2 linked regions of the Alligator mississippiensis genome follow. The protein of the gene in region 1 purifies or fractionates together with the protein of each later gene. This does not show direct contact. Links are inferred from orthologs where the notes say so. Each region holds a gene or a part of one and is shown in the gene's direction. Other genes may lie near its edges.

The links.
Region 2: the proteins of histone H2A.Z (region 1) and ANP32E purify together in Homo sapiens (affinity purification with mass spectrometry; 4 studies listed by BioGRID and IntAct, with this or other methods). This does not show direct contact. The link is inferred for Alligator mississippiensis from reciprocal best matches to the Homo sapiens genes H2AZ1 and ANP32E.

The regions. Positions count from the first base shown.
Region 1 is NC_081825.1:161,263,487-161,269,728, reverse strand, and holds the start of histone H2A.Z, read left to right. Parts: upstream 1-3,081; 5' UTR 3,082-3,210; coding exon 3,211-3,213; intron 3,214-3,648; coding exon 3,649-3,726; intron 3,727-4,837; coding exon 4,838-4,951; intron 4,952-6,242. UniProt on the Homo sapiens protein: Variant histone H2A which replaces conventional H2A in a subset of nucleosomes. Nucleosomes wrap and compact DNA into chromatin, limiting DNA accessibility to the cellular machineries which require DNA as a template.
Region 2 is NC_081838.1:18,368,324-18,374,565, reverse strand, and holds the start of ANP32E (acidic leucine-rich nuclear phosphoprotein 32 family member E), read left to right. Parts: upstream 1-2,347; 5' UTR 2,348-2,448; coding exon 2,449-2,502; intron 2,503-2,663; exon of another isoform or gene 2,664-3,185; intron 3,186-3,595; exon of another isoform or gene 3,596-4,176; intron 4,177-5,554; coding exon 5,555-5,704; intron 5,705-6,242. UniProt on the Homo sapiens protein: Histone chaperone that specifically mediates the genome-wide removal of histone H2A.Z/H2AZ1 from the nucleosome: removes H2A.Z/H2AZ1 from its normal sites of deposition, especially from enhancer and insulator regions.

The DNA.
Region 1 (6,242 bases):
TGGTTGCTGGGGACTGCTTGTACTTCTTAAGCATAGCTCAAATATTTCATTTTCATGTTCTGCTGCTTAACAAAACTTGCTACCAGCAGAAATTCTTCATGAGGATGGAAAGTATAGCTGCTTCACAACCTTGGTTAAATTTCTAGTAGTTTTTCAAGTGTCTAAAAATATGAAGAAGCACCTAGACCTAGGGCTAGATCTAGTAAAGGATTTAGGCTCTTGGTTCTGTATTCTGCTCTAGGATCTGGTGTTAAGTTCCCTATACCTCCTCTACAGAGCACAAGGAAAGTTTGAGAACCACATCATTAGCAGGTTTCATAGATTTCATAGGCATTAGGGCTGGAAGAGACCTCGTAAGGTCATCAGGCCCAGCCCCCTGCCCAAGGGGCAGGAAGTCAGCTAGGGTCAAAGGATCCCAGCAAGATAAGCATCCAAATGTTTCTTAAAAGTGTTCAGAATAGGTGCTTGCACCACGTCTGGGGGGAGTCTATTCCAGGCCTGGGGGGCTCATACAGTAAAGAACTTTGTCCTTATGTCCAGCCTAAAATGGTCTTGTAGGAGTTTGTGACCATTGGACCTTGTCATCCCTTGGGGCGCTTTGCTGAACAGGCATTCTCCCAGATCCTGATGCATACCCCTAATGTACTTATAGGCTGCCACCAAGTCACCCCTGAGCCTGTGCTTCTCCAGGATGAAGAGTCCCATGGCTCTCAGCCTCCCTTCATAAGGCCTGTTCTCTTGGCCTCTGATCATGCACGTGGCTCTCCTCTGGACTCTCTCAAGCTTCTCCATGTCCTTCCTGAATTGTGGAGTCCAACCTTTCAACCTTCTTAGACTCAGCACAACCCTTGGGAAATGCTAGCTCTTGGCTTTCACTTGTTTGACTGAAAAACAAAAAGTACTAGAGCCATGAATGGCATGTGCCCCCGGTAGCTGTGGGGGCACGGCGGTGGCAGGAGTGTGGTGGCAAGAGCAGCAAGAGCCTGTGGCAGTAAGTGGGAGAGCTCCTGAAGACTCCACCAGCACTGTTGGCAGCAGGGGAGGATGGCGAACACGGACCAAGGGTTGGCGACCACCTGCAGCTGCTGTCAACATCGGCAGCAGCAGTCAGCAGGAATCGCGGACTGCCCACAGATGCCACTGGTGGTGGCAGCAGTGGGGTGGCAAGCGGCGATTGCCCATAGGCGCCGCTGAGTGTAAGTGGTGCCTTTTTCCAGGGGGTGCACCGCAACGCCCATGACTAGAGCAATTCTTTTACTGCAAGGAACACAGAAAGACCATAAGAACATAAGAACTGCCATTTGCTGGGTCAGACCATAGGTCTGTCTTGCCAGGTTTCTGCAGAGGGGTAGCATCACATAAGAGTGAAATCATGTCTGGCTGTGGAAAGCAGGGAGGCATAGTCTGCAAGCCTAGGTCTTCCCAGGCAGGGCTGCAGTTCCCTGTAGGCCGTGTGCACTGTATGCTTTACAAGGGCAATTATGCTTCAGTGATGGAAAGCCTGATGACTGAAACCCTGGAATTGGCTGGGAATGCTGCACGGGACAAGAAAACTCGCATCATTTGCACCACCTCTAGCTGGCGATCCACAACGACAAGCTCCTGGGGGGAGGTCACACTGCTCAAGGCAGGGTCCCACCCAACATCTAGGTGGTTCTGCTGCCTAAGAAAACGGAGAGCCACAAACCCAAGGGCATGTGAAACCTGTGCAGATTCAGGCCTAGACTTGGAAACATTCATAACACAACCCCCACACCTCCCCACGTCACAGAGGGGCAGAAAGTATATGCTAAAAGGGAGAGCAAACTGAGTATGAGCAGGGATTCCCTACCTTGCAGCCTCCAGCATTTAAGGTCTAGACCAAGGGTAGGCAATCAGAGCAGTCATTTTGCTTGGCAGTCACACCTCTGGGAAGGGGCCAGGCCTGCCGGTACCGCCACAACAAGGATCAGGCCCCTTGCAGCTCCCCCACCTTCTGCCCTGGGGACGCCAACACCTTTCAAGCCAAGGTTGCGGGTGTTTTTGCCACTGTGACCAAAAACATTGCTGATCCCTGGTCTAGGCAGTTCTGATTCAAAGGCTGGACCCCTAACTCCCTCACTCAATAGCTACCAATACCCTTCCTTTGCAGCAGGCCAGGGTGTTTTTGACACTACGGGTGCCTATTTGAAATCTCCGGGTCGCTTTAATGAAACGCGCAGTGCTGCTACTGCACGACCCCTGGCTGAGAGTCACCGTGCCAAGGAGGGCAACACCACCTGTCTGCCCGTCCCACCTGCTGCACCCGGGGCGGGAGATCTGCATCCTCCAAAGACCCCTTCTTTGCAGGGACACAAGTTGGGGTGGCCAGGTACAGGTGTTGGGCTGCAACTCCTCCAGTGACCTAGGGCAGGCTCTGGTGCCTCTCCCTGGGGTGTCTTTAATTTTCCCTGCGCCTGAGGAAGGGCGTGTGTGTCCGAAAGCTTGCAGAAAAAGACAACGTGTCTGCATCTCCCCCGGGGGATTCACCCCCGCAATTCCTTACCCAGCAGCTGCCCTAAGCCCCGCCCGGGGGTGGAGGGGAGGCACTTGCAAGTCCCATGTGTGGGACGGGGTGGGGCAGGGCAGAGGCAGGTGTCCGGGTCGCAAAAAGGCCCGTAGCTGTGCCTGAGCCTGGGCGCGGGGCCTCGGAGGCTGTAGGTGCCCGCGGGCAGCGCCGCCAGCGCCAGACAAAATGGCGGGCGGAGCCGGGCGCGCGGGAGCCAGCAGAGGGGTGGAGCAGGGCGCGCACGCGGGCCCTCGCGCCGCGACGCGCCGGGTCACTGGGCCTACACCGCCCCCCCCCTTCGCCCCGCGGGGTTCGCCAGGCAGCCGACGGCTCCGCAGGGCCGCGCCTGTCACTTTAAGTGTGGGCGTGCCTTCCATTGAGGCCCGGGCGCACGAGCCTCCCGCCCCACCCCACCCCTCTCCTCCCCGCCCGGCGGCTGGGCTCCGATTGGCTCCTGGGCCGCAGAGTCGCCACGCCCCCCTCGGCGGCGATTGGCTGGCGGTGGGATCCGGGTGCCCGGATGTGGGCACGTTCGGCGGTTATAAAGCACCGGGGGAAGGCGGGAGCCGGCGCAGTTTGAATCGCGGCGGGTACAGGTGTGCGGTGCTGCTGGGGTCTTGTTGTGTGTGAGAGCCGCTCGCTGCTTCCTCCCTCTCCCGCGCGGTGCTGCAGCGCCGCTTACGATGGTAGGAGGCCACGGAGGCGGGGGACGGTTGGGGGTGGGGGTTGCTCAACCGCGCTGCAGCGGCGGGGAGGAGGTGGTGGCGGCTGCATGGGGAGACTGGGCGCAATGGTTGGAAAGCTGGCACGCGTTGGGGCGCCCTCGCGTCTCGCCGGCCGCTGGGCTGTGGGGGAGGGGGTGCGCATGCGCGGCGGGCCGGCGGGAGCGCTCAGCGCCTGCGCCTAGCAAGGGACTCGGACTGCTGGGCGTGGGGGAAGAGCGCATGCGCGGCGCCTTGGCTCGGGCTGCTGGGCGGGGAGCGCATGCGCGGGGCTGTTGGGCGGTTCTTGCCTGAGACCCGAGTGACTGACTTGCTTCCAGGTGAGCTTATAGGAGGAAGAAGCTGGCTCCAGTGGGTAGGAGTTCGCTTCTGACTACCGCCTTCCTCCCTGTTTTGTAGGCTGGTGGTAAAGCTGGGAAGGACTCTGGGAAGACCAAGACCAAAGCAGTGTCTCGCTCGCAGAGAGCTGGGCTGCAGGTGAGTCTGCAGGGCTTCATCCCATTTATTTGTCCTTTAAGCCTTTTGCCTTTTTGTTTGGGAGTTTTTCTCTGTTTGCTGCTTGTCTGCTATGGGGCAGTCTGCTTCAGGAGCAGCAGGCTTCCATGTTAGAACAGCTGCAGTTGAAGTCCACTGATTGTCATGATTTTTAAAAGGCTAGTCTTTGGAGGGTGCTATTTTCAGCGCCTAGGTTTTGCATTACTTGAAGAGGTTTTTTTTTGTTTGTTTCAGTGCAGTTAAGGAGTAACAGCTTGGACTGGGAATGAACAGCTTGAACCATAATGCTGCTGCTGCTACTATATGGCAGGGGTCTTCAACCAGAGTGCTATGAGATGCTTCCAAAGGGGCTGTGGCACCCATGTGTCCTGTGCCAAAAGATGAGCAATTGCTCTTTCTCCTTGCTGGGGTTGGGCACCTCTAAAATCTGTCCAGCAGTACTTGTAGCTAGTCCCCATGCCTGGCAGCTCTTGCACTGGCCACCCTGCTCCTAACAGTTGCTCCAATGTGTGTGCATGTGAAGTGCATGAGCAGGTGGCCAGATATAGGTAGAGGACTACAATTTAAATCCTGAGTTATCCCCTGTCTGTTTCTCTCTTTCTGCCCCCTCCTTCCCCCCCCCCCCCCCAATGTGCCTGGCGTGGTGAGAGGCTGCAAGTGCATCTGGCTTCAGTTGCTGGCATTGGAAGCCTAGTGCTTACCCCTTCATGCACAGATCAATGGCTGGGAGGGGGCAGATGCTGGCAAAAGGGTACAGTGGGGTGAGGTCTTGCCTTGACACTCTTACCTGGTGTAAGTTGGCTTCTAACTCAATAGTTCTCAGCCAGGATGCTCCTAAACTCTGGAAAAAATAAAAAGGGCTGTTTTGAGGCTAAAAAAGCTGAGAATTGCTGTTTTATAGGATAAGGAATCATGCAAGAAGTGTATTCAAAATCACTATGCTTTAAATCTGATCAGCTTTTGTTACATCAAATAACAAACAGGCCTTCCTGTGATTTATTTTATGGTAGCTGTTGGCAGGGTTTCAGTCTTTCATTTGCCAAACCTTTTATGGTGTTTACACTATGTTCTTCCTGCTCTTGATGTCTTGCAGTTCCCGGTTGGCCGCATTCACCGTCATCTGAAGTCCAGGACCACTAGCCATGGACGTGTAGGAGCTACTGCTGCTGTGTACAGTGCTGCTATCTTGGAGTACCTGACAGCTGAGGTAAGGATACTGTTGGAGAGACTGGGAAAGGCAGTTAATATTCTTAAAAGGGGTAAATTGACTTAAATTGAGTCCCTTTAAATTGCTATAAATCAGTAGCCCAAATTTAAATAATTTTATCAAGTTTCCCATTGTATTTTTGTTTCCTTCCTTTTTTACAGAAAGGTTGTATCATCATTGGTTGATCTAACAGAACTTGTCCTACTGTAAAAACTGGATTAAGTTGCAAGTTGTATACATGTTTCCTAGGTACTCAAACTCTCTCTTCATAGCTTGTGTACCTAGAAACACATGTTCCAAACTTAGTTAACTGCAGTTTTTACAGTAGGTCAGTGTGTTTTTATTGTATCAACCAATGATAGATAAACAATATGGTCTTAAATGTATAACTTACAGCATTGCTAACAATCTGAATGTACTATTTTGGCATCCTAAATGTGAATTGTATGTTGTTCAGTAGATTTAATGTGCTCTTTTTTTATTAAGATGGTGACTTGTTTAATTTGGTGTTGGTTGTGTGTTTAAAAGCAACTTTAATGTTTTGGAAATAGAAATCATTATCAAGACTTGATTAACACTTGGATAACTAATTTATTAAACACTAGTATTAACTGTTATAGTATGCCATGAACTGCAATTTAGTGAATTAAACCAGTTATTTCGGATCACCCTGGGGAAAACTTTCTAAAATGTCTAGGTCTTGATTTCAAGACCAGTCTACCACTTTGTACACTTGAGCCCAGTGTTGGTCCTTTGCTCACACTCCTGCTTATTCCTCCCTGTTTCTCCTCCACACAGGAGATGAACACCAAACCAGTGCTTCTCCCTGTGATGTAATCCACCATACCCTCCCTAGCTTTTCCCTCGTCCCAACAAGCCATGCTTTCTGCTGTTGCAGCACACAAGGCTAGGGGGCTACAATATTTTAGTTTGGAGACCATGAATTGCATGAACTTCAAGTCTGCTTGCATCTCTGCATAGCCAAAGGAACCAAGAAGGGCCGTTTAACTGAAGTACCCAAACCCTTAAGAAGCCCCAGGGGGTTGGTAATTACTGAGCAGATGGTTGCTTTGCCATGAGCTGAGAAATAAGCCTCCATTATGGGTACAGTCATCGATATTCATAAACTGAGAACTGAGCCAATTGGATCGGGTAAAGACACAGACAGGCAGGAGTTTTGATACCTTCTAGGTGGGCCTGGTAGATGATGCTGATCAAGGAGTACACAGCTAGAAGAGGCCAGGTTCAAACACTTGTGATTACTTCGTTGATGCTTTGTATCCAGCATTAT
Region 2 (6,242 bases), on another chromosome or scaffold:
TTAATAAAATCATGCTGTCACTTATCAGCTAGTTCTCTTTTAAGCGGTTACAAGTCTTTTTTTAATATATACATGCCCTCCAGCGTCTTCCCCAGCACTAAAATTAGACTGCTCTGCAATTTGCTGCATCTTCCTTTTCCCCTTTTCTAAACTACTGCATTTGTCCTCTTCCAGCTCTGAGACCTCACCTCACCTCTCAAACATAATAGGTCAATGAGCCTGCAATTAATTCAGCTAATACTTTGAGTGCTCTAGGATGAATCTCATCAGGTCCTGCTGGTTTGAAAATGCTAAGCTTACTGAAATAATCCCCAAATTGTTCTTTTCCTCCTCTGGGCTCACAGCAGTTCTCCCCTTTCTTGATGCTAATTGTGCTTGTCAACCTTTTCTGGGGAAATTTGATGAGAAAAAAGTATTTCAACCCTTTCTTCATCTGTCTAAGGATAGACTCCAGCAAACTCCTTTGCTCCTTGCCGTAGCTTCCCCAAAGAAACAGCATTGCTAAATTAGCATCAGTGCATTTCTTTGAAGAACGAACCATTTGCTTTAAGTCTGAGCTCTAGTGACGTTGATGATTCCCACCGTAACACTTGGGAAAAGGCCCATTATATTTCCAGTCAAAATCGTTTGCAGCTCTTCTACGTCTACGAAATCTCTCTCTGCCACAAGACCAAAAGATCTCACAGACAAAGCAAGAAGCTTAACACCCTGCCAGATGCTTTTGCAAACACAAGCAAGGGCTAGGCTTCTTTATTATACCCCAACCCTGTTTTCAGTGTTTCAGGGCACTGCCATCTGATAACGCAAAGCTACATATAACCTAGGAGAAAGGGCAGGACGGTGCCTTTCTCTAAACCAGTGGTTTCAATCTTCACTCGCAGCACCCCTCATTAGACCCGAGGCCCCCCCATAGAAGATGCCAGCTCTTTGTTTTCACTCATTTTTTGACTGAAGTAAAACCATGAAAAGTAATTCTTCTGTTGCAAAGAGCTCAGAAAGATCAATCAGCACGGACAAGGCAGAGCCGTTCTTAATGTTAGATCCCCATTTGAAATCTCTAGTTTTTTCTTGTGAATCTGGTTTGCTGTGGCCCCCCGATTGAGAATCGAGCTCTAGACCCTTTTCTCAGACCGTGGCAAAACCTGCCGCCACCTCTGAACTATCACCAAGAGGTTTTTTTCTTTGTTTTTTTCTTGACACCCACATTGTTAACTGCTGTCTAGGTCTTCATGGCCCAGTACCTACTGCAGCCTAATCTCTGGTCTTCTTGACAGGTCAAATCTCTGCTGCTCAGTGAACCCCGACCACACTATTCTCTTTCCTTAGAAGCTTCACCGCTACACCCGTCACGAGCTTGCAGTCCTTGTCTTCACGGCATTTATTGTTTCGGTTCTCTCATCGTACCAGTCCCTCGCACTAATCAAGGATGCCAGCCTGCATTGCCCGTTCCCCCTGAACCCGAGAGATGGTGAGGCCACAAATTTGGCAGCCTTTCTGAGCACTTTTGCTGCCCTTGCACGCCCCAACAACTGGGTATTTCCACAGCAGTGAACTAAACCCACGGTTCTCAATTTTTCTAGACGTCAGGCGCCCCTTAGAAACTACTGATTTCACCCGAGTGGTTTTTTTTGTCAAATGACAAATCATTTTTGCCTTGTCGCAAAGCGCTGAGAAAGCCCCCAACACCGCAACGATTTGAACTCTGTTGATTCCTGTATGAAAGCCCCTATGTTTCTCTTCTGGTGAATCACGCGTGCACGCCTAACAAGGCTAAACACTACCCGGCACGCCGCAGCACCCTCAAAAGCGACACCCCAGGATGCCGCGTGCCCTAATCAAAGCAAAAGGGCTTCGTTTGGGAATTGGGACCGGAAGCCAGCAGGTCCCAACACCACCCCTCCTCTTTCAAGCCCTTTGCACAAGTATCTGCCAGTTCCTTGCAGCAGTTTAACTAAATACACGTGTTATCTTTAGCCCGTCATGCTGCTAATCTCTGCCTTCGCACCTAACATCTACACAGGTCCCTTTTTTTGTTTTTAGTGCCCGTAACACTTCATTAATCTGCTTCTAGACACCCAGGCCTAACCCCCACAGACCAAACCACCAGAACCGCGTGGCGCATAATGGCGCCCAACCGCCGCCAACGGTCGCATTTAAAAGCTCGGAGCCTCGACGGGCGTCCGGCGGAGCCAATCGGCCGCCGCCGCGCGCCGCGCCGCTCCTCCAATGGAAAGCGGCGCATCGAGAGGAAGCGCTCGCCCCTTCCTTGGCCCCGCCCCGCCGGCCGCGGGGGGCGTGTCCTGGGCGAGGGGGCGCCGTGCGCCATGTCATGGAGGCTCAGTGCGCGCCCGGCTACTGAGCAGCGCGGAGCTCCGGCCGGCGGCGGCGGCGGGGGACGGCGGCGCGGGGGGCGGCGGCCCAGCTCTCCCTGCCCGCGCGGGCTCGGCCATGGAGATGATGAAGCGCGTGGTGCTGGAGCTGAGGAACCGCGCGCCCGAGAAGGTGAGCACGGGGCCGCCATGTCGCGGCGGTGCCCGGCGCTGCGCGTGCCCCGACCCGGCATGGAGGAGCCCCGGGCCCCAAAACACCCCTCCTCGGCGTGCTCCTTACTACGCATTTGTGCCTTATGGTGCATTCTCCTAATTATTCACCTCCCGGCCGTGTGTTATTATTATCATCATTATTATTATTATTATTATTGCAACGATAAGATTTTTTTTGGACTGGCCAAAGGCTTTTTCTGCCCGCTGCGCTGCTTTTCGAAAAGTGAAGGAGGGCTGGGAGCCCCTCCGCTGGGCACGGGCTCGCTGCGATCGCTGCTGCGGGCATCTGCTCTCCTTATTCGGCTGATTTTGGGGAAATTAGGAACTTGCTTTTCTTTTCCGCCTCCCCCTTTTTCCTTCGGTGAACTCCGAATCTGGGTCAGCCACCGCGATGCGCCCGCCATAAGTTTCTCGGTTGTGTTTGGGGGTGAGTTTTGGGGGGGAGGTGTTAAAGGATCCTTTTTAAAAATAAATGAATAAATCGACAGCTGCTTTTCTTTGGGGTGGGGAGAAGCCCGAAGTCGCGTGCCCCCCGCTCGCCCATCCCTCCCGCGCTGGCATTGCTGGCAGGATGGGTCTTCATTTATTTTTAACTTCTCGCTGGTGGAGGTTGTAAACAGGTCGTAGTGGCACCGAATCCATCTTAAAAAAAAAAAAAAAAAAAGATCACACCATCTGGGTAGATCCGACTTTGCTTTCCTCCAGCCGGCGATCGGAGAGGATCAGAAACCCTCTTTTCGTCAAAATTGGCCTGTGTCTCGGCTGACGTTTGGGGCTGTTTATTCAGGATTGGATCTATTATTACTTATCGTTATTATGATGATGGTGATGATGATTCTCTTCTTTCTCCTTCCCACCTCCACCCTCCCCGAGTTTTTTCAGCTCTGCCCAGAGAGCACATGATGGGGTAATGGCACCCTCCTCTCCTTCCCTTGCAGCCACACGGCTTATAACCGGCCTTCCTAATGGCTAAAGGCAGATAAGGCGATTGCTGCTGGGTCCTGCTCAGTCATCGGAGACAAGATAGGCTCCTGGCCGGTCCCTCCACCCACCGAGAGCAGTCAGGTTCGCGGTTGGGAGGTCATGAACAACGCAGGAGGGCTCTTCTCCCTGCCCGCCATGCAGCTACAGTCAGGTAGCTCCTTCCCTCCGCGAACTCGGCGCTGGGAGTGGTGCTCCAGTGTTGCAGAAAATGCCATCCCCTGCCGCTCCGGCGTGACTTCAAAACAAAAGTCCCGTGCAAGCCAGTGATGGCAAAACTTTATGGGGGGGGTTCTTTTTTTTTCTTTTTTTTTTTTTTTTTTCAATCCTCTTCCTTTGACGTCAAGTCCAGAAACGCAGCGCGAGGGGGCCAACGGCATCTTGAAAGTATTTCTCTTAACTTTTTAATCCCGAGCCATTTTGGTTCTGGCCAGCCTCAAGGCACTCGTGCTTACAAAAACAAATCGAGATGCGCAGAATTGAGATGTGATGTCTGAAGAGGCTTCGTCTATTGTTAAACGTACTTTTTTTCCACCCCCACCCTCCCCGAGGTGGCTGTAGGCAGGTGGTTATCTGATGCATGTTTTTTTCCCCTGCTGCGCAGGGAAAGATTGTGGCTGCGCTTTGCTTTTTAGGAGAGGGTCGTGGTTTTAGTTAATCTCCTGTAGTAATTTCATTGACTGCAGTGCCAGCTGCATGGAGAGCAGGCTGATCAACTTGCAGCCTCCGCTTCCCTGCTGTTAAACTCGGCCAACAAATGATTTGTCGCTCCAGCAGATGTTTTTGCATTTAGGTCAGTAAGGACGCTATCGACTGGCGTGTCTTGCTCTCCCCAAGAATAAAGTCCAGATAGGTTGATATTGCAAAGTGCTTTTACTCCACCCCAGCCTGGGTGACTGATTGCACAAAGATTCCCTGCATAAAAACTACTACTCAGATAAACAGTATATTTTTTAACAAGTTGACTGTGTTGGATTATTTTTTTAAAGCCTTTAAACTGTGGCTGGAGTTACCCCCCCCCCCCCAAATGGTTTTAGTCTTTCCCTTTTCTTCAGGGCAAAACCTGAACAACTTTGGGACTTGGAAACCACAAAACAATTCAAAGCTAGTCTCTCTGGTCAACTTTTTCTGCAGCAACATGAAATAAGATTGTAAACTTGAAACAAATGAGCAGCTCATGCCCACCAAAATAACTCAGAAGTCGCCAGTGAACAAGTGACTTTTTTAGTCATCTCTACAGATGACTCTTTCAGAGCTGAACTTCCCAGACTGGTGTTGCATTTAATCCTTTTCATTTGCAGCCGGATTGGTAAAATAGCAACTGTGGTCAGCCCACTTGTGGGGACATGGAGGACAGACAAGCAGAAAATGGATTTTTCCCTGCAAGATGTTCAGCGACACAGAGTAAATGCATCTAGAATGAAGAAGCAAATGCTTCAGTCTGGTGCATTATTAACCTATGATACTCCCTGCCTCAGTATTTTGAGGGTCAAAGCTATAGGGTTTACAAGAGGATTTGGTGCTTTTTTTCTGGCAAGTGAGGCTATACCCCCTTATTTTAAATAGTGAATGGGAATATAAACCCTCATCTGGGCATGAAGCAACCATTAAGTGATGGCTATGGAAGGAAACTATATGGGTAGGTCATTCTGTAATTGCCTAGTTGGCTTTTGGCTCCTTGCTTCTTCTGATGCATCTGTTCCTGGCTTTCATCAGAACCAGGACCATGGGTTTTTGTCCGGCCCTGTAAAGGACTGCGATTGTGAACTCTGTCTTGGTGGTTGTGCTTTCTGAAGCCAGCATGTTAACAAATAAATTAAGTTTTTTATCTTCTGGTTCTCTGTGATGGTGCTTCATACTCTGTTTACTTCCTCTCAAGGTTGATATGGTCGATGAGTTCAGACAACTCAAGTTCAGGTCTTCCCAGATGAGAAGCAAAGCCTGTCGTCAGGCTGCTGGTTTGACCCGAATTGCTTGCTTGGTTGAGGGTCCCTATTAAAGTAATAAGTGACATTCTGTTTTGTTTCAAGGTGACAGAGTTAGTGCTTGACAACTGCCGATCCAGCAATGGCGAAATTGAAGGTCTGAATGACTCCTTTAAAGAGCTGGAGTTTCTCAGCATGGCCAACGTAGAGCTGACATCCCTGGCCAAGCTCCCCACCTTGAGTAAGCTCCGAAAGGTATGCATCTTCAGACAAAAACCCATCCGTTCTCTCCTGCCAAAGTTGTATACCTTGAAACACACCAACAGTTAAACTACTTGCAAACGTGACTGTGACTATGGAAATACGCATCTCATTGAAATGTTTTACTAAACATTGCTAACTTAAGAATTAAGTCTTTAAGACCCTGAATGTAATTAATGCTGGTTTCAAACATTAATGAGCCAAAGTACTGAAAAAGTATCACTTGAAAACTGTGTTAACGATGGCCATCCCATTCTGTTGTAAAGAGAGGGGGTCGGGAGCAATCACATTAGGTGAAGTGCTGGGAACACTGAAGTCATTGTTCGTTACCTGTAAGGAACCAGTTTCAACCTAGTCTGTTGACCTAAAGCCTGTACAAAGATCCAATGCTATGTTTCACATCCCCGTGTAAAAAATAAAGCCTGGAAATATTTTAAGTTTGCACCATACTAAGTATGCTAACTGAGCAGTTGGAATCGGTGAGATCACTTGCCGACTTACAGTAGAACATGCTTAAGTGTCTGTAGGCACC